Elephas maximus indicus: one gene and its partner. The protein of the gene in region 2 purifies or fractionates together with the protein of the main gene of each other region. This does not show direct contact. Links are inferred from orthologs where the notes say so. Each region holds a gene or a part of one and is shown on either strand. Other genes may lie near its edges.

Region 1 (10,302 bases), on a different chromosome or scaffold from region 2:
GTACTTAACTGTGATCACAAAATATGAGTTTGTGGCAGAGTCTAATCGTATACAAAAAAAAACCCACTGCTGTCGAATTGATTCTGACTCATAGCAAATCATACACAAAAAACCAAACCCACTGCTGTCAAGAATCATATACAGTACTATTTTAAACCCTTCAGTTCCAAAAATCTGTCCTCTGCTTATGAATTATTAGCATTCTCTTAATAGGATGGAGTATGATTTCAAAACCATGTAATACATCCTGTTCTAGAAAACTCAAGATACAAAAATTTGAACTCGGTCATATGAAAGATTCTTTCATTTCTGTAGCAACTGTTCTTAACAGTGAGGGTGTAACACATCAGAAGTGCTACAAGAGCACAAACAAAACTCCCTGCCTGTTTCTTCAGACTCACGTTTCAGCTGCAGCCAAGTGAAGATGAATCAAAGGTGATGAGGAATTTCAATGTAACTTAAACCAATGGAAGCACATTTTTTATAAAAATTCAATTTACAGAATCTCACCCAACTCCTTTCAGAGTCTACAACTATGAGTTTATTCCACACACTCTACGGGACAACAAGGAAAGAGCTGAGACTACCTTACCTTGAGACCAGCATGAATTCTTTCAATAAGCCGTATAATTAAACTGTTACATTGGAAGTGCCTGGGTAATTTCTTCAACATAAATTGCTTTACAGCTCTTATTTGTCATTCCTGCTTTGGAGATGGCTAAATTACGACAGGCTTTAGTACTGCCTGCGAGCCCTGGTGGCACAGTGGTTAAGAGCTATGACTGCTAACCAAAAGGACGGCAGTTCAAACCCATCAGTCACTCCTTTGAAACTCTAGGGGACAGCTCTACTCTGTTCTCTAGGGTCATTATGAGTCAAATCAACTCAACGCCAACGGGTTTGGTTTTTGGTTAGTGCTACCTGAAATGGAAACTACTGACTCCTAGAGCTCCCCTGCTCTTCCTAGACCACCCTCTCCTCAATTAAAAAAATCTGAGCTCTGGAAATAATTTTGAGCAGGATCTGTCTCTTTTACTTGATTCTGGATTAATACATGAATTAGGCTAACTTCTGAATGCTTTTTTTCCCCACCCCGACTAAATTTTTAACAGTCCTAAGTACTTTCAGTTCCAAATTCACTAAAAATTGAGGACGAAAATGTAAGCCACTAGAGCAGATGTGTATGTAAGCTGTTAGGAGCACCCTGTTACAGCAACTTCAGAAAGCAGGGCAGAGAGGTTACTTGTTTCTGCTGTTGGTCTTTCCTCAGCGCCTCGAGCCTCTTCTCCTTGAGGCGTTCCAGTTCGTCCTCACCCATCTGATCCAGTTTCTGGATCTCAGAATTGAGATGTTCTTCCACCAGCGCGGTGGTCTGAAGCAGCTGGTGCTCCAGGGCTTTTGAGAACATGTCAACAGATGCATTGGCTTCCATTCTTCAAAATGGCACAGTTCAGCCTTGGTGCTAGGGCAAGATTGATAAAAGTAGAAGAAAATTACAAACAATAAGAAAAGTTTTCCCTCCCATTCTCAAAAACTCTAGTAAGTATATAATCTGTATGGCACTTAGTATTCTGCTTCTAGTCAAGCACTTGACTTTAGGCTCAAGAATTTCTATTTAAATGTTTTAAAATTTAATTTTCAATTGGTTATAGTTACACAACTCAAAAACTATATACAGTGAAGTTAGGATGCTTCTGACTTAGTTTGTTTTAATATACCAAAACAAAGAGAAGTATTCAAGAGCATCACCAGACCAAAGAGAGTTGAAAAGCTGGGAGTCATACCTAGTGACGTGCACTGACCATAAGTGTTCTTTACCAAAGGAAAAGGGAAGGAAAGCATAAACGACTGTGAAAGAGCAAGGTATAACTGTACTGAGGTTTTCACATAAACATACACATCAAACTTTACTTCAACATACAGCAGAGTTGAACGGAAGGCAGAGTTTTTTCACGGTCTCTGCTCAAGCAAGATTAATGTCTCTAGGCCCTAAGAGACCCAGTAACAATGTATGTCAAGAACAGAGCCCCAGATTCCACAGATGTCAGTTCCATTCCCTTTCTCCCGTTACTAACAAAGTGTTTGTTGTTGTTAGTTGTCCTCCAGTTGATTCTGGCTCACGACAACCCCATGCGTGCAGAGTAAAACTGCTCCATAGGGTTTTCAAACCTGTGACCTTTCAGAAACAGATCACCAGGCCTGTCTTCTGAGGTGCCTCTGGGTGGATTTGAACTGCCAACCTTTCATCTAGAATCAAGTGCTTAACAGCTGGTTGCACCACTCAGGGACTCAAATACACAAAGCCACAAAAATTGAAACAGGTATTGATTTAATAAGTCTGTGTTCTTAACTCTGATGTGAAACAACACAACACTCCAAAGATTTAAAAAAAATTGATTTTTCCATCAACACTGCTTTGTGTAAAATACCAAAAAACCAAACCCATTGCCGTTGAATCGATTCCAACTCACAGCCACTGGACAGGACAGAGTAGAACTGCCCCATAGAGTTTCCAAGGAGCAGCTGGTGGATTCAACCTTTTGACCTTTTATCTAGCAGCCCAGCTCTTAACCACTGCCCTACTAGGGCTCCCTTTGTAAAACAGTGCTCTAAAAATTTGTCCGTTTTGTCAAAGTATTATAAAACCTAACTAATTCAGATTAGAAAGGGAGATCTATCTCTACATATGTTTTAAAACAAACAATATTATTTTTGGCCCACAACAAGCAATTTTCTGTGTTGTCTAGCTGAATCTTTGGGTAAATATCACAGAAAGAAGATTTACCATTTGCTTACGAGGGCAGGAATCTGTCCATCTTGGTAAACTATATTTCATACAGTAGTGAAGCACCGAGAAAATCTGAATAAATTCTGAACTTATTCATCCAGCTTCTGACAGTGTCTGGCCCACACAGAAGCCTTCCATAAATGTTTGTTGAGCTGAAGAAAAATAACCTCTTTGCAAACGTCACTTGTAATTCCTTTTTCTTTACGAGAAAAGCAGTTGAAAAGTATACCCAATTTCATCTTTGCCTCCCAGAGTTAGCTAGCTAGCACAGCGCCCGGAACACAGCGGTGTTCCTTGCTCCACGTTCAATGAGCACGCGCCCAGCTTCCCCTCAAATTGCCCTAAGTGTCAAAACACACCTATTTCTGAGTTTAAAAAACCAAATCGTAAGCTCCTCTAACATGCTATTATGCTATAAAAGTGAAAAAAAGCTGTGTTTCAAATAAACGCTCACTTCCTCCCACCCCGGGCCTCCCACGAACCACGTCGGTCGGCGCGGGGACCAGGCGAGGCAGAAACTGGGTCCTAAACACTGCGCTGCGCGCCAGGACCTGTTCTTACTAGGGGCGCAGCGAAGCTTCCCCGTGACGTTTCACGGGATGAGCCCAGAATTTCATTTTGGAAGAAATGGAAACAGAAGCGACTAACAGCCTCTGTTCCCGAGGTTCACCGCACTCAGAAAGGAAAAACGCTCACAGAGACGGTCTAGCGGTCCCGTAACTCATTCTCCAACCATGAGCGTCCGACTCTTCTCTTTTCCAGCACAGCCGGAAGGGCGGGAAGGGACACAGTTTGTCCCCACATTACCCGACGTTTCCTCAGTTTCCCTCCGGGCACCCGCCAGGACAGTCAAGGGGCCTTCCCCAGAGGATCCTCACCGCTGCCGAGGCCCCGGGCACCAATGAGGGCAGCGCTCCGGGGACCCCGACCTCCACCCTCCGGGGGCGCACGGACACCGGGCCGGGCCGCGCCCCTCCCCGGCCTGCAGGCTGTGGGCCGGCCGTGTGTCCATCAGCACCGGGACGAGGTGGCCCGTTTTCCCACACCGCCCTCCGCCTCACTCACCTGAGCTCACGGTGCGCCTGGGAAGCGGAGGAGCAGGCGGTCCACGAACGCGGCCCACTAACGCTACAGCCTCGCAGCAGCGGCGGGCGGCCGTGAGCCAGCCGTCTTCTCCGCCTCCTCATTGGCTCCGGTCCTCTCGCGATACAACCTGCCACACCCGAGGAGGAGGGGCGGCTCGTGCGGCGAGCGCTTCTGCGCGCGCGCCGCCCCCTCCACCCGAAGCACCTCGGGACCCGTGGTTGCCTATCTTTCGCCTCCCTTCCGGTGAACTGCCCGGCGGAAGAGGGAGCGAAGTACGCTGGGAGTTGTAGTTTTTACAGTACTGAGCCTGGCGCCCGGCTTTCTTAAGCACAGTCCCTCAGTAGTCATTATCACGTTTCCTCAGAAATGAGATAGCGGCGATCTTGCTCAGGACTGACAGTCAGTCTCCGTTTGCGTTCTCTGTTTATTGAACATTTTCTAAACACTTGAGGTCTAACTTGCACAGCACGATGAGTTTTTACATAGGTGAGACTTGTCGTAGCACCCCACTCCCGGGATCAAGATGTAGAACATTCTCATTACCCTAGTAGGTTCCTTAGTGACTTCCCTAACATACTAACTTTTAGGGACTTACTCTTACTTTAAATGTAAAGATCACAACCGATTTGGGGGCCATTAATGGGTACAGGAGTCCTCGGGTGGTACAAACGGTTAAGCTCCTTACTATGAAAGGTCGCCCGTTTAAACCCACCCAGAGGCGCCTCCGAAGGAAGTCTGACCCTCCGCTTCTGAAAGGCAGCCACCTATGGGGTAGGTCCACCCTGAAACCCACGGGGTGGCCGCGAGTCAGAACAGGCTGGGTGGCAACCTGCCGTGGTCGTGTGTCCTCGTTACATGTTTTCTTCAGTGAGTGAATATACTTCATAATCCACGCATGCTATTGAAAGACCCCACTTTTGCCCTGGATGTCTCTCCGTTGGGAATACCCAGAGAGTTCGTCTTCAGCTCATTACGGTTCTTTACTGAACTTCCTGCCGCTGAGACTACAAAGGCACAGAGGTTAAAAGCTGGAATACAAGGTATAGAGGTTAAAAGGTGGAATACAAGGCACAGCGGTTAAAAGGTGGAAGTAAAAGTCCCTTTGTGAACCGAATGCCAATCCCCCAAGTCTGTCCTCCCCCGCGGAGAGGGGCTGACGTGGGGACTGGCCACCTAATTGTCCCCCTGTGGTTCTAGAACCCGGCAGCGGCGCGGCTGTGGGCGCGCGGACGACGCTGCCGGCAGGGGGCGCGCGGGCTCCCGCCCAGCCAGCGGCTCCACAGGCGACGCTCTACCCGAGGCGCCGCTCTCGATGAGCCGCGCCCTGCGTCCCCACGCCGCGGCGGCGGGGCGACGCGCTTGCGCACTGGGCGCTCACACCATATGTGCCCTGTCCCGGTGCGCGGGTCTGTGGGGAGCCGGGAGCGAGAGGCGGCAGCGTAGGGGGGCCGGAGCCGAGCGGACAGCACGGTCGGCCGGGGGACAGTGGGTCTGTGACAGACCGAAGGAAAGGGCCGAGGCCGCGAGGCTCGCTGACACGCGATGGGGAAGAAACAGAAAAACAAGAGCGAGGACAGGTAGGCAGTGGCTCGGTGCGCGCGACAGCGGCCGCCGCGGCTCGGTGGGGCGCGCAGGTCCCGGCGGGCGCGGGGCGGACCGGGCCGGGGGCGCGGGCCTGGAGCCGCAGGGGTCGCGGGCCTGGACCCGCAGGGGACGGGCAGCTCCGCCGCCCCGGTGCCGGAAGGCGCGGAGGGCCTCGGTCGTCCCCGCGAGGCTCCGCGTCCCCGCTGCCTCTCCGGCCTGGCGGAGAGGGGTCCCCGGCGGCGCCGGCCTGGGGAGCGGGGCGGGCGTTTGGGGAGCCCGGCCGGCTGGGAGGGCTCGTCGGGCCAGCCCGGCCGGCCAGGTGGGCGTTGTTTTCGCGGCGCCGCTGCTGGCGGAGTCGAGCTCCCTGTGTCCCCACGGCGCGGGTCGGGAGGAATTCTTCCTGTGCTTTGTACCTGGCAGTCCTTGGGGCGAGAAGGCAGTCGGAGTCTGAGCGACGTGCGCAGCTCTCCGCGCCCTGCTGGGCTGGGCTGAAGTCGGAGCGCCGTGCGTGGGCTCGCTCCTGAACTTGGCCTCACCTGGAGCCAACTCTCGGGGACCACAGAGCTGCCTGTCCGCGCTCCGTGCTTCTCTCGTTCCTTTTTCCGGCCCGTCTTGTGGTCATTTCTTTGCTCTCTAGCACCTCCCCTAAGAAAGGAGGAGGAGATGAAACAAACCAACCAGGGGCGCTCCTTTTTAACCGCTTAACAGGCTTTGGGGGTGACCCAGTCGGTAGTTACTTACCGGGAGATTTTTGGAACATTTCTGTGTGTGACGTTCGATTGCGTCCTTTTACCCTTTTCATTGAAAGGGTTCACTTCTCGGGAGTGAGCAACATCTGTTAATTTTTCTCCTTTGTGTGTACTGCCCACCAAACTTACTCCAAATGCCGGGGAGAAAACAAGCTTTAAAAATAAAAAGAACTTGTGCTAGTTCATCCTAGCAAAACGGATATTTGGTATTGAAGTGGAAATAAGACTACTGATTATAAATTGGAATCCTAGGTTAGTGCCAGTTCATCCTAGCAAAACGGATATTTGGTATTGAAGTGGAAATAAGACTACTGATTATAAATTGGAATCCTAGGTTAGTGCCTCACCAGGCAGTCATATAGCTGATGAGTGGCATTAAAGACACCAAGGTGAGTCTGATACTTCAGTTACGGGTCTGTTGGAGGAAGTTAGTTTGGATACTAGAACTTTTTGTTAATCAAATCTGAAGAGTAAGAAGAAAACAGGCAGTATTCTGGCTGATTTAGTGGAACACAAGTTTCTGTAATTTTTGACAGAATTTTTTGATGCACAGGCTCCCCCCCCACCACTGGAAGAAATTTTCAAATTTACGCAAAAAATAGATGAGTATAGTAAAGCCTCACGTACCTATTACCAGTTTCCACCATTGTTAGCACATGGCCAATTTTCTTTCAACCGCCTGCTGGAAATCATAAGCAAATCTCAGAATTTTTTCTTCTGTAAATCTTTCAGGTGTATGTCTGAAAGATGAACACTTCTTAAAAAAAAAAAGAAAACTGCAGAAACAGAACGTTAAACAAACACGATGTCATAGTTAAGCCTAAAGGATATCAACAATGATTTCTTAAATATCATCAGATATCCAGACAGTACTCAAATTTCCCTGATTTTTATAAAAAGCACTTTTGTTTTTACAGTTGGCTTGTTTGGACTAGAATGCACACACATTTATTTACTTACTCATTCACTCATTCTTCTACCAGTTTTTTATTTTCCGGATCCTTCAGAGTGGAAAAAGCCATTCTGGGGGGATATTGATTACTGTCTCTGTGTTTTTAGAGAAAGGTGAGTGTCTCTGATTGATTCATAAAGTCTCTCTTGGATGGTGTAACGTTTTCCTTGCAGACACAAGAGGCCGTATTAAAGGATTGGTTTGGCAGTAGAGAAGGAGTGGTTTTGCCTCCTCCCCCCACCCCCAACCCCCCAAAAAGAACTCTCATCTGTAGTCTCTGTTTCTTTGGCTCATGTTGAAGGGAAAGTGGTGGCGATGTAACTGAAAAACGTGCACGCTTATTTCATCATATGCTAATATAAACTTTGTAATTTTTTTTTTTTTTAAATGCTTCATGGACTCCTTTGCTGGAGTGGCTTTCAGATTGTGTCTGAGAAATCCTAGGGTTTTGCAGAGGTTTGACAAGAATTGCTTGGCTTTTTTACAGTGGCATTCCATGGAAGATATTTGGGGTGTCGGGGGGAGGGCAGTGGAGCTGAGAAATTCCACTGTTTTTCCAGTTAGTTTGTCATTGGCTTGAGTCAGAATTGACTTGGCGGCAACTTGGCTTATGTTTAAATAGTACTGGTTTTCAAGGCTATTTTGAATATTTGTAAAATGAACAAAAACATAGGAAGAAAGTCTGGAAGGGGGAAGTCCTATTTTAAGATTAATACTCCTATTTGCATATAATGAGATACTCTATCTTGTTTTACTATCTTATATGAAGATCCTCCCTTTAAAGATTTTACCATCATCCCACCTCCTCTCTGCCCCCTTCCCCTCTTGCCTCCTCCCAAACTGTCCAAAGCCAACCATGTTTCCAGCCAGAGAGAACTGGGAGGGAAAAGAGCAGCTGCTTATTCCTTATCAAGATAAGGCCTTGACCCACTTTTCACTTCTTGGAAAGAACACAAAATACTCAACAGTTCTTAATTTTTATATCCTTATGCTTTATGCTTAGTTAACTCTTACATTTAAATTCTTAGCCATTCAGTATTCATTTAAAATCAGATTTATTTAATCTGAATATCTGATTTTATTGGTATAGCATATGTGTTGTTATATCAGTGACTGACATTTGTTTAAAAAAACAAGTTCCAGAATTCTGCTCAAGCTTGTGTAATTCTGAGAATGAGATTTTGTTTATGGTGTTCAACAAGTTGCCTGCCTTCTTTCAGTCGACTGGGCAACTTTTATTGAGATGAGGAATAGGTTTATGGATCTACAGATCAAACAAGATATAAGGCAGTATTTTCACTTCCTTCCTGTGACCTTTCCAGTCTCATTTACATAATGGGGCCTTATCTCAGGGGCTCTTGTGCTATGATGCACTCCTCCTGATGTGTGCAGAGAAGGCATCTGGATTGTCTACCTTTTTTCTATTAGTCTATACTTTTTTCTGTTCTTGTTTCTTTAAGGGTCAGTTTTAAATTGGTGCCTCAACTAAGTGTGGTAGTTAAATTTTTCAGGTTATAAGGAATGCGAGCATGTTACCTTAGGTAATGGGATTAATACAGCCCTTGAAGGTACCTTCCCTGCTGCTCTTAGGATATAGAGGGAAGGAAAAGAATCATTTCACCTGTCCACTGTCAGATCTCATGGAGGTGTGGATGCCAGTCAGGAGCTAGGCTTTCAGGATTCAGCAGAGTTCTGGGGTGCCTTCAGTTATCAGGTTATTTGTTGCTGTGGCTCCCTACAGCAGTGGTGAGCCAGTATAGTGACTCCATTATTTTTCCTCTGCTTTTAACTAGAGGTGTATGGGAGACCTGGGTTTGATTCCCAGCCAGTGCACCTCAAGTGCAGCTACCACTCGTCTGTCAGTGGAGGCTTTCATTGCCGTGATGCTGAACAGGTTTCAGCAGAGCTTCTAGCCTAAGGCAAACTGGGAAGAAAGGCCTGGCGATCTCCTACTTCTGAGAAATCAGTCATGAAAATCATACGGATCACAACGCTCCGACCCTGTTGTGCATGGGGTGCCATGAGCCAGGGACCGACTTGACGGCCCCTAACACAGCAGCAATGTTCCTATCATCACTGACCAACTCCCTCCTTTCCTAGGAGTTGTGGTGCTCACTTAGACGGTTGCCTCATGTTTAAAGAACTGCCTCAGTGGCAGACATTCATTCTGGTCAGTCAGGTGTGATCAGGTTAGCAGGGTCCTTGTGGTAGAAAACATGGCGATCTGCTTAAGGAGCCTGTGCAGAAGGAGCTGTGAGTATAGCAGGCACTCTGAAGCTTCCAGGAGCCCTGGTGGCACAGCGATTAAGCGCTCAGCTACTAACAGAAAGGTCAGCTGTTTGATCCCACCAGCGGTTCTGTGAGAGAAAGGACCTGGGGATCTGCTCCCATAAAGATCATATAACGTAGAGCCTAGGAAACCCTATGGGGCAGTTCTCCTCTGTCCTATAGTCTCATTACGAGTTGGAATTGACCTGACTGCACACAGCAACTGAAGTTTCTTAGAGAGGGAGCAGACCAAGTGACAAACAATATTGAAACCAAACCCGTTGCCCTTGAGTCCATTCCGACTCATAGCAACCCTATAGGACAGAGTAGAATTGCCCCATAGAGTTTCCAAGGAGCAGCTGGTGGATTCGAACTGCCGACCTTTTGGTTAGCAGCTGTAGTTCTTAACCACTACACCGCCAGAGCTTCAGGTGACAAATTAAAAAAAAAAAACAAAACCAAACCCATTGCCATCAAGTTGATTCCAACTCATAGTGACCCTATAGGACAGAGTAGAACTGCCCCATAGAGTTTTCAAGGAGCACCTGTGGATTCGAACTGCTCACCTTTTGGTTAGCAGCCGTAGCACTTAACCACAACACTACCCGGGTTTCCAGTAGGTGGCAAATAGTCTAGACCAATAAAGGTATTTATTTCTCACTTGGATGTATTTGAATTAATAATAATAATAATAATAATAATAATAATAAAAAGATGCATCGCCTGAGAGTTCTCTTGGGCTAGCTTGTTCCTATCACGTTAGGAGGTTGGTATGTGGAAGGAGGGGAAGAAGTCCTAGTTCTCCATAGATGGGTAACGAAACAGATGATGAACTTTTGCTGATAGCGTTTAGTGGCCTCTCCAGTCTTCAGTGT
Region 2 (10,553 bases):
AAAGAATCATAAGGGGTTCTGATTAGAGGAGACGACCAGTGACTTGAAGTGGGAAGAAACAGAGAGGAACTAAGGAGTCTGAATGCTTGCAGCCAATTAAAGCAACCACCTGAGTAACATGAGACTATTTCACCCCCAAGTTCCTAACTGTGTATAATTTATGCACTGATATTGCCTAGTATTAGGTACTATTGTCCTAATTATGTAGGAAAAAATAAATACTGGGTATACTTGCAAGTGGCTGGCTCTGTGTCCTGGGAGCAGAAGAAAGGGTACATAGAGAGATACCCAGAAAATTGAAAGAATGTCCTGAGATTCACAGTCTCCAAGCAGGTCTACCCCTGCCCTGGCTGGTGGCAAGACATTACAGACACATGGAAAGAAAACTGTCAGGGACCTTCTGCTTTGGGCTGCCTGGGTGCTTTTTAGGTACATGAATAAATAAAATTATTAAATAAATATTTCTATAAATTGCGAAGATTTTCAAACTCCAGGATACAGTTCATTTACTGGAATAATAATGTAGCTAACCAAAGAATACGAGTAAAAAAAGCATTGCCGTTGAGTCAATTCCAACTCATAGTGACCTTGTAGGACAGAGTAGAACTGACCCATAGGGTTTCCAGGAGCAGTTGGTGGATTCAAACTGCTGACCTTTCTGTTAGCAGTCAAGTTCTTAACCACTGCACCACCAGGGCTCCACAAAGAATATGGGTAGTTCCTTTTAATTTTCTGCAAGAGAATTATACCTGCTTATCTTAAATGGACAGGAGAGGAGGGTCAAGGGAATGGTTATTAATTACAGGAAAGATTAGAAAGAGCTTGGGGAAGAAGGGTTAGCTATAGTGGAAATATAGGAGAAACACAACCTACTCAGTTGTTCCAGTTAGTCACTGTGAGAAAATGATTCAGAAGCATTGTAATTTTAGGGAATATAAAGCAGAGCAGGACAAGCCAGATGATATCTCAGTGGAGAGAAAATGTGAAATCTCAGAGATGAAAGCCAATTTTCTCTGGTAATCCCCCAGAACGGGGCTAGCATTTCACACACAAAGTCCTGAAGAAAGGGAAGTAGACCAGAACACTCTGTTCAGATTAGGGAGGAAGAAAATTTCGAAAGAATTTTCAAGAATGTTATAAAGTTTGCAAATACTTGTAGGATAAAAAAAAAAAAAAAAGCAGTAAATAAAAGTTAAAGGATCAAAGGATTATTTTTCCCAGAAAAGGTTATCGAGAAGTCCTGCTCCCCTGTATTTACAGGCTGTAAAAAAAAACAAACTGCCTTAAAATGTATACATTTAAAAAATGCTTATTGTAAAGGAAAAAAAAAAAACCATTGCCATTGAGTTGATTCCTGCTCATAGCAACCCTATAGGATAGGGTAGAGCTGCCCCATAGGGTTTCCAAGGAGCAGCTGGTGGCTTTGAACTGCCAACCTTTTGGTTAGCATCCACAGCTCACCATAGCTCTTAATATTGTAAAGAGGGTGGTTGAAATTAACTGTAAAGCGTCCTAACTCTCCCCTGGAGTTCTTAAAAGTAGGATAAATTCCCTTTTTTCTTGTTGGATTAGTAGTAGCCTTGCCTTCAGATAACAAATTCAATAAATGATTTTTCTAGGTCTTTTTTTTCCCTGTGAACCAGAGCCAGTACAGGCTGAGGAAGGCCCTAGAGGTAAAAAAGGCAACTGTCATTTTAGTCATTTGCTTTGGGTTCTACTTGTGGCATAGGGTAAATTATTTCCAGTCTCGGGACCTTAGTTCCCACAGTTCCATAATAAATACGTTTGTAAAAAACTTATTTTTGCCATCAACAGATGAATAAACAAAATGTGGTATATCCATACAAAGGAATATTATTTAGCCATAAAGACAAATGAAAGTCTGATACATGCTATGACACAGATAAACCTTGAAATATTATGCTGAATGAAATAACTCAGACACAAAAGGACAAATATTGTATGACCCCATTTATATGAAATATCTAGAATAGGCAAATGCACAGAGATAAAAGTTTATTAGTAGGTTACCAGGTGCTGGGGGTAGGGAGAATGGGGAGTTATTGCTGAAGGGGTTTTGGGTTTCTTTTTAGGGTGATGAAACACTTTTGGAAATGGGTATGGTGATGGTAGCTTAACATGTTAAATATGATTAATGTCACTGAATTATACACTTTAAAACAGCAGACTTTTTGTTATATGTATTTCACCACAAAATTTTAAAAAACCACAACACTTCTTTTTGAAGATTTTCCTAAGGCACTATTGGTGTAGAAAATACTTTGTTACTATAAGTTGCTGTGTGAGCACATATATCATTATGACTCATAATATAACATGTAACATATAAATTCTTCAGTGTTACTAGTATCCTAGTACAGAAAACAGGAGTTAGACTGAAGAAACATAAGGTTAGCTTTAAGTTCAGTTTCATCTGAACTCTTTTTTCTCTTTACTAATGTTTTGTGGACATGCTGTTTGCAAATTCCCCTGAGCCAGAGTAGGTATGCAATACTTCTTCCCCTAAAGCTTTGTAAACTCCAGCAAAAGCCCCGGCTGTCAATATTTATCTAATATACTGATGATTCTTAGGAGGCTCTGACGGAATGAAGCATGTTCTCAGCTCTGCTGATTGTTACACAGCTCACATATAGGGCAGGAGCCTTGAGTAAGAGCATCACAGAAGCTAGGGCCAAGGAGGCCCTATAGGTGATCTTTATCTTGCACATGAGGAACCTGGGGCCAAAGGAGGAGAAATGCCCATCCAAAGTTACATAGCCAGCCAATGGCAAATCCCAGGGCTAGGTCCTCTGTCTCCTTGTGGATAACGCAACATGTTTTTAGTGAATTGTGGGGAGTTTCAGCTAGAAAGTAAGATAGGTTTCTGCCGTTCCTCACTCAGTAATTTTTAGACCCAGAAAGACCTGTCTGTTTACATTAAGGCTAAGTTTTTTAATGTCCACCAGGAAGGAGATTTTTCCCAAAAATATTCCAGCAGAGGGCAGCAAGCTTAAATGTGGATCCTAGAGCTTAAAATGGTTTTAAAATGAAAGAGGATGCCTTTTCATCTCTAATTTTGTCCACCACCATTACCTCCAACAATAAACAGCTACCAATTTTATCTTAATGCTTTACTATGTGCCAGGCACTGTGTATATGCTGTGTGATATTTATCTCATTTAATCCTCCTAACAGTGTATCTACCTATGAGTTATGTTATCCCCATTTTACACACGAGGAGATTTAGAGATTAAGAATTTGCCCAAGGACCCACAGCTAGAAAACAAAAAAGCCAAAATCCAGACTGAGGTTATCAGAACTGCAAAGCCCTTAAAACATCTCATGGTTCCTCAGGGGCTGTCTGCTTGAGTATGAGGTGCCGCCTGGTGAGAGGAAGAAAAAGACGTTAATGAATCATACTAAAATGTAATCTAAAAACAAATTTTAAATTTTTATTTTTTTTTAATGTTTTTAAAAATTGCCACACTGGGCTGTTCCAATCATGGTCACCAGTGACTTCCATGTAGCTAAGTCCAGTGGTCAATTTTCAGTCCTCATCCTGCTTGAACTTTCAGTAGTATGTGATACTGCTGATCACTCCTTGGTGATCAGGACTTGGTTTTTTGACTTGGTTTGCAGGACCTTACACTCTTGGTTTTCCTCCTAACTCATTGGCTGGTCCTTTTTAGTATCCTTTCTCTGGTTCTGCCTCTTCTCTCAGAACTCAGTCCTTGGTCCTCTTTTCTTCTGTCTACACTCACACCCTTGTGTTCTCATCCTGTGGCATGACTTAAGATGGTATTTAAATGTGTATTTCTACCCCAGATCTCTCACCCTTGAAATCCAGACATGTATATTCAACTTGTACTAAATATCACCTCCACATGGAAGTTGACATCTCGACTTAACAAGCCCCTAATATCCCCCCTCCAAATCTGCTTTGTTCGCAGCCTTTGGTATCTATTGATGGCAGATCCAGCTCTCACTCACTCAGGCTAAACACCTTAGAGTAATCCTTGGCTTCTCTTTCCCTCACAACCCACAGGTAAGCCTTTAGGAAATCATTTTGGCCCTATCTTTACAATGTAGCCAACTGCAACCACTTTTCTCTGCCTCCCCTGCTACCACTCTGGTCTGAGTCTTCATCATCTTTCAAATAGATTACTGCAATCGATATCATCTTACGATATCTCCCTGCTTCTACCTTTCCCCTCCAGAATGATCTTTTTAAAAACTGAATCAGATCATCTCACTTCCCTGTTCCAAATCCTACAATGGCTCCCCACGTCAGAGTAAAAAATGCAAGACTTACAGGAGCTTACAAGGAGCTAAAAGAGGTGGCTCCCCATTTCCTTTCTGACCCGTCTCCTACAATTCAGTATTTCCAGCCATTCTGCCCTCCTTGGAACCCTGGTGGTACAGTGGTTAAGAGCTCAGCTTATAACCAAGAGGTCAGCAGTGTGAATCCACCAGCCACTCTTTGGAAACCCTATAGGGGCAGTTCTACCTGTTCTATAGGGTGGCTATGAGTTGGAATCGATTCTTCAGCAACAGGTTTGATTTTCTGCCCTCCTTGCTCTCCTTCTAGGAACACTGAAGGTTCACTCTTGCCTGGGAGTCTTTGCTCCCAGGTGGCAGCTTGGGTAACCCCTCTTGACCTTCAAATCTTTGTTAAAATATCAAGTTTTCATTGAGTCCACTTTATTTATATTGCAACCTCCCCTGCTCCATCTCCCTAGCACTCTGATTTGTTTTTGCTTTATATTTTCCCATAGTACTCTTCACCTTCTAACAAATTATATAATTCACTTACTTTTTACATTGTCTTCCCTATCTCTCTCTAGAATGTAAACTCCATAAGGCAGGGATCTGTTTTGTTCACATATGTATCCCCCAAGCACCTAGAAACTGTGCTAGATATACTTGTGGAGGGAATTAAAAAAAAAATTTTTTTTTAATTCTTCTGAGACTAAAACGTTTAGTAACAAACCAATTTATTCCAAATTTCAGAATATCCTGGCACAAAATAGATGCGTAATAAGCATATGTAATTTGTGTGTAATCTGGGCACACATTTCCAAAGCATCCATTTTATGTGTAAGAGTTGGAATTTATTTTGAGTTCTGTCTATTCTGTGTCCAAAGCCCAGTTTTGCTTTCATTTTGCATTTTTCTACTTCAGGAAGAAGCCCTGTAACTTCTGTTTAACAGTCAGTTTTGTTCTCTGAATACGTCCATAAACTCTATCACCCAGAGATGGTTAAGGAATTTGATTAAGAGCTAAGATAATGAAGTTGCAGAGAAAGAAAAACAACTGAAATAAAGGATGCTTCTGAGAAATAACCCTTTGGAGGGATGGTCAGAGCAGTATATGCAGGATAAAGCAGTAAATGGCAGCACTTGAGTGCACTCACAGATCTGGGGTCTAACTTCAATTCCATCAATTTCCCCAAAAAAACCCATTGCCATGGAGTTGATTCTGGCTCACAGTGACCCCATAGGGTTTCCAAGGCCACATCTTTCTCCCCTGTGGAGCCGCCAGTGGTTTCCAGCCACCGATCTTTGAGTTAGCAGTGACTGCTTTAACCACTGCCCCGCCAGAGCTCCTGCTCACCTGATATTGATTTGTCCGTTTTCTCACCTATAAATAGTAGTAAAAATGCCTGTTTGAGTACCCTGCATTTCTACCCCGGATGTACTGGACCAATCTGCATTTTAACAGGATCCCCAGGTGATTCTTAAGTATAATAAAATTTGAGAAAGGCTGCTCTACTTGTGGGAGCCCCAGTTGGTGCAGTGGTTAAAAGTTACTGAGAGCGACGGCAGCTAATTAAAAGGATGGCAGTTCCAATCCACCAGCTGCTCCTTGGAAACCCTATGGAGCAGTTCTGCTCTGTCCCATAGGGTCGCTATGAGGGCAACAAGTAGGGCTCTACTTGTGGTTCTCAGAATTGGTCCGACTCTCAGGTCAGCACCATGAACATCACCTGGGAAATTGTTAGGAATGCAAATTCTGAGCAGGGGCCCTAAGCAGAAAGAACCGGTTTGAAGCCCCGGTTAGCACCTACGCGAAGAGATTGTGAGTTGTCAGGGACCAAAGGGTTCATTTAAAGAGAAGGTAGGAAAACCAGTAAGAAAAGCAATCAAAAAGGTGGGAATAAGATTCAAAGCCCCTTCGTGAATAATTAAGGCCTAGAATGGGGAGCAAGGCCTTCGCTCTCGGAAATCTCTCAGCTGCGAGGGGAGCCAGCGCCCGGCTCCAGGTGGGGGCTTTCCAACCGCGCCCGGACGCGCCGAGAAGGAAGAGGCGCCTTTCAGGCGGTGTAGGGAGAGCCGGCAGCGCGCAGGCCAGGCCTTGTAGGGAGTGGAGCGGAGGTGACTGGCTGGAGGCCACGCGGACTCCCCCTCCGAGGGTCCGAGGCCGCCCAGACTTGCCTGGCAGTGGGAGGGGCTTCCCTCCTGGCCTCCGGCCGCTGCTCGGCTTACCTGACGCTCTCGCTCCCTTGGGCTTTGCCCACCTGACACTCCCCACACACCTCGAGGACGGTGTAGATGCTTCACTTCCTCCCTCCTCCTCCCAATCGCCTACTCTTTCCTCTTCCCTACCCCACCCGGTCCATTCTCTTGCCCCGAGGGTTACTCCTCCCCTTCCTAGTTCTGGCTCCTTACAAATAGTTTGGTTTGAACTTTTGAACCCACCAATCAGAGCCGCTTGCCCTCCCCTCTCCGCAGGCCGGGAGGAGCCGCGCGGCCGGGGCGGGCCCACGACGCGTGGCCGGGGGAGCGTATAAAGGGCCGGGTGGGCCGCAGCCTCTCCCTACTTCTCCCCCGGACTCCTTGGCAGTCTGTTAGTGGGAGGTTCCTGCTGCTAGCCACTCGCCTTCTCTGTCCCCGCGGGTCCCTTAAGAGTCCCGTCATGGTGAGTGGGGACCCTAGGATAGCGCGGGCCGGAGCCTCACCCCGGGCTCGCGGTACGGGGAGAGCGCGCGTTCCGAAGGGCTGCAGGAGCCGCAGAGCCACCGGCTGCACGTGGGGCCGCGCCCGCACAGCTCCGGGCTCCTCTGGCCAAACGCGCGTCTGGTGGCCGTACTGGGGTAGCGGGGTTCACCGAACTTGCCCTCCACTGGAAACCCTGGTGGTGTAGTGGTTAAGAGCTACGGTTGTTAACCTAAAGGTCGGCAGTTCGAATCCACCAGGGGCTCCTTGGAAACCTTATGGGGCAGCTCCACTCTGTCCTATAGGGTCGCTATGAGTTGGGATCCACTCGACCGCAACGGGTTTGGTTTTTTGGGTTTGCTTCGGGCCGGAAGGCGCGGCCCAGGCACTGTCCTCGGTGGAAGTGGAAAGCCCCCTTGGTCCAAGGGTCCGCCACCGCTCAAGAAAGGGCAGAAGGTCTTTACATTGGCCCCCAAGGATCTGAGGAAACTAAAAATCCTACCCCCTAGTTTCCCCAAATGACCTCACCTTCCTGCTGTCGTACGCGCTGGGCCCCGGAAGTTGAATGGGCAGGTTGTCTCTGGTACTTCCCGCACGGAAGGTGCGAACGCTCCTGGGCGCCCCCTCCCCAGCGCCCTGTGACTCGCTGCTGAGTCACCTGTGGCCGGGCTCTGGCTAGAGCTTCAATTGCACCATTCCACCTGAAGGACGGAGGCGGGCCCGTCCCTTGAAGGGAATAACTAAGTCTCACAGGTCTAATCCTACGTTTCTAGTGTTAACTTGGAAACCCTGGTGGCACAGTGGTTAAGTGCTAGGCTGCTAACCAGAACGTCTGCAGTTCGAATCCACCAGGTGCTCCTTGGAAACTATGGGGCAGTTCTACTCTGCCGTATAGGGTCGCTATGAATCGACTCGAGCGCAATGGGTACCGAAATGTTAACTTAGTGAGGTGTTTATAGCTGAAAGTTTCCACTTAAGGGAGATTTTTAAAATGAATCCATAAAAGGGTTTTGTATAAGACCAGAGTAAACTACCGCTGATTATTTACGCTTTCAAGACACATGAAACTGTACACAACTGGAATATTTTCTATATAGCTACCAAAGGTGTTGGGAAACAACTATCTTGGACAACACCGGGCCTACTTAGAATAAGCCATGTTTTTAAACAAGGATTTGTGTTTCAAATGTTTCTTAAAGTATCTAAAAAGGGGAGGGATGTAGTAGTGAATAATCGACCAGTTCCTGTCTTCGGAGACTGCCACAGCTAACAAAAATCTGAATACTGTAACAACTTGTCTGGGTGCCTTTGAGCAAGCAAGAACAAAAAGATACTGGTAAAAGTGTGGTTCAGAAAGTAGTGGGCTTGTACTAAAGGGCAGGAAAGCATTGGCCACGGGTCTGCTGGTGCTTATTCAGTTCAAGCCATACTAAGTAAATCCATCACCTGTGCCTTATTCTCCCAAGTGGGCAGGGGGGAGAGGAGGGCAAACAGTGGCCACTGGCTTTGCCTGCTCAGCTTCTAGGGAGAGTTTAGACTGGTTAGCATTGAAACTTTTTGACTCAAAAAGTTTCAATGGAAGAACAGCTTCTTTAGGATGAGAGGATCTTCTCCGGTACCTTTCTTTGGGCCTGAGGGGTGTTATGAATGGATCTCTGGTTCTTTACAGCTTTCTGGGGCTGTGGTATTTCCAAAGTCCATTTAAAGGTAAACATGATGCAATGGTAAATAGTCATGGGCTCATTAGAACGAACAACTCATTCTCCCACAGCCCTGGAGCTGGACGAGTAGGCACAGGTAATACTGAGCTTGCCGATGTGGTCAGGACACCATGATTGTTTTATGGGGAGTGTAGGCGGGAAGGAGTGATCATAAGTTAAAGGTTGTGAGTGATTCAGGGGTTGTATTATCTTGGGTTATGAAACTAGGCCCTTTGAGAACTTAGCTGGCTGTTCAATTTTCTTTAGTTTCTTATTAGCAGCTTTTAAAAACTTGAAACCATACTATTCAGGGAAAAATGTAATGGGACATTTTTGGTGTGGATATTTTGAAAGTCCTGTGCCAGTCTAAAAAGTAGCTAATCTGGCTGCTGATGAGATAAAATAAACAAGCTTTATGTTTTTTCTGTGAAGTCTGTGGGTATAGATTCTATGTTAATTACCTTATTTTTGCTAGGTAGGAATGATTTTCTACCTTCTAAATGACTGTTCAGCATGTAAAAAGGAAAATATTTCTCTGATATCATCAAATTCTTGAAACCATAGGCTTTTTGTCACAACAGCAGAGAGATATATACATTTTACTAGAGAGCAGCTAATTTCTTAATTTCAGTGATGACACTTACTGGGAAACCCTGGTGGCGTAGTGGTTAAGTGCTATGGCTGCTAACTAAAAGGACAGCAGTTCGAATCCACCAGCTGCTCCTTGGAAACTATGGGGCAGTTCTACCCTGCTCTGTAGGGTGGCTGTGAGTTAGAGTCAACTTGACAGCAATAGGCTTGGTTTTTTGGGGGGCGGGGGGGGGATGACACTTACTAGGCTTTATTAACATGAGTCAATGATTTGTTGATGATGAAGGAAAAATGTTCTTCCTAAAGATTAAATTCTCCTATAGGTTGCCTCTGACCACACCGTTCAAATACAGCTAACTGCTGCTCATCTAGCACTTTCTCCCTGAGTCATATGGCTGTAATTTGCTGGTTTTAGAGGGGGGCAGAGAAAAGCTCTTGTCTTTTTAAAGAATAGAATTAAAGAGGGACTAGAATAAGCTCACTAGTTACACAATCACACAGGAAATGAATCAGCTGGAAGGGGAACTTTGCATGAGTTTAAGGAATCAGCAGGCATATTTCCGAAGAGCAGCTTGTCATTCTAACATGGTAGAAACCTGACCTTCAATATCTAATGTGGCTGCAAAGCAAGGGTCTGGCCTAGTGTGGGACCAAGAACCAGATTTGACCTTTTGCATCTGCTTTTCTGAAAGTAGCCTGAGCAATTAAGGAGCTCTTTGTCTTTTTAAGAAAACCCTGGTGGCATAGTGGTTAAGTGCTACGGCTGCTAACCAAAGGGTTGGCAGTTCAAATCCGCCAGGTGCTCCATGGAAACTCTATGGGGCAGTTCTAGTCTGTTCTATAGGGTTCCTATGAGTCGGAATCGACTTGATGGCACTGGGTTTGGGTTTTTTTTTGTTCATCTTTCTAAAAGGGGCCCCTGGTTGCACAGTGGCTAAGCACTTGCCTGCTAACCAAAAGGTCAGCGGTTCAAACCCACCAGCTGCTCCACAGGAGAGAGATGTGACAGGCAGCTTCTGTAAAGATTTACAGCCTTAAAAACCCTTTGGGGCAGTTCTACTCTGTCCTGTAGGATCGCTGTGAGTCAGAATTGACTCGACAGCAGTGGATTTGGTTTTGTCTTAAGTAGCCAGGCAAGTAGGGGCTACACAGGCTACCCCCCCTCCCTGTACCTGGCAAGCCAACTTTGGGGTGGGGAGGTATGATGCAGTCATGCATATTCATTCATTGATTAGGTTGATCATAAGTATGCATTAAGGCTCCCGTCATGCATATTCACTGAGGTTCCAGTGACTAGGGAACCATGGACCTTGGAGCTCTCTTTTTG

What was found.
Region 1: the proteins of tubulin alpha-1C chain (region 2) and TXNDC9 purify together in Homo sapiens (co-immunoprecipitation; 3 studies listed by BioGRID and IntAct, counting the BioPlex papers as one, with this or other methods). This does not show direct contact. The link is inferred for Elephas maximus indicus from reciprocal best matches to the Homo sapiens genes TUBA1C and TXNDC9.

The regions. Positions count from the first base shown.
Region 1 is NC_064835.1:86,450,422-86,460,723, reverse strand, and holds the start of TXNDC9 (thioredoxin domain-containing protein 9), read right to left. Parts: upstream 3,996-10,302; 5' UTR 3,854-3,995; intron 1,463-3,853; 5' UTR 1,433-1,462; coding exon 1,244-1,432; intron 1-1,243. Other genes in the region: EIF5B (eukaryotic translation initiation factor 5B), read left to right, coding at 5,417-5,451. UniProt on the Homo sapiens protein: Significantly diminishes the chaperonin TCP1 complex ATPase activity, thus negatively impacts protein folding, including that of actin or tubulin.
Region 2 is NC_064822.1:104,671,535-104,682,087, forward strand, and holds the start of tubulin alpha-1C chain, read left to right. Parts: upstream 1-6,795; 5' UTR 6,796-6,915; coding exon 6,916-6,918; intron 6,919-10,553. UniProt on the Homo sapiens protein: Tubulin is the major constituent of microtubules, a cylinder consisting of laterally associated linear protofilaments composed of alpha- and beta-tubulin heterodimers.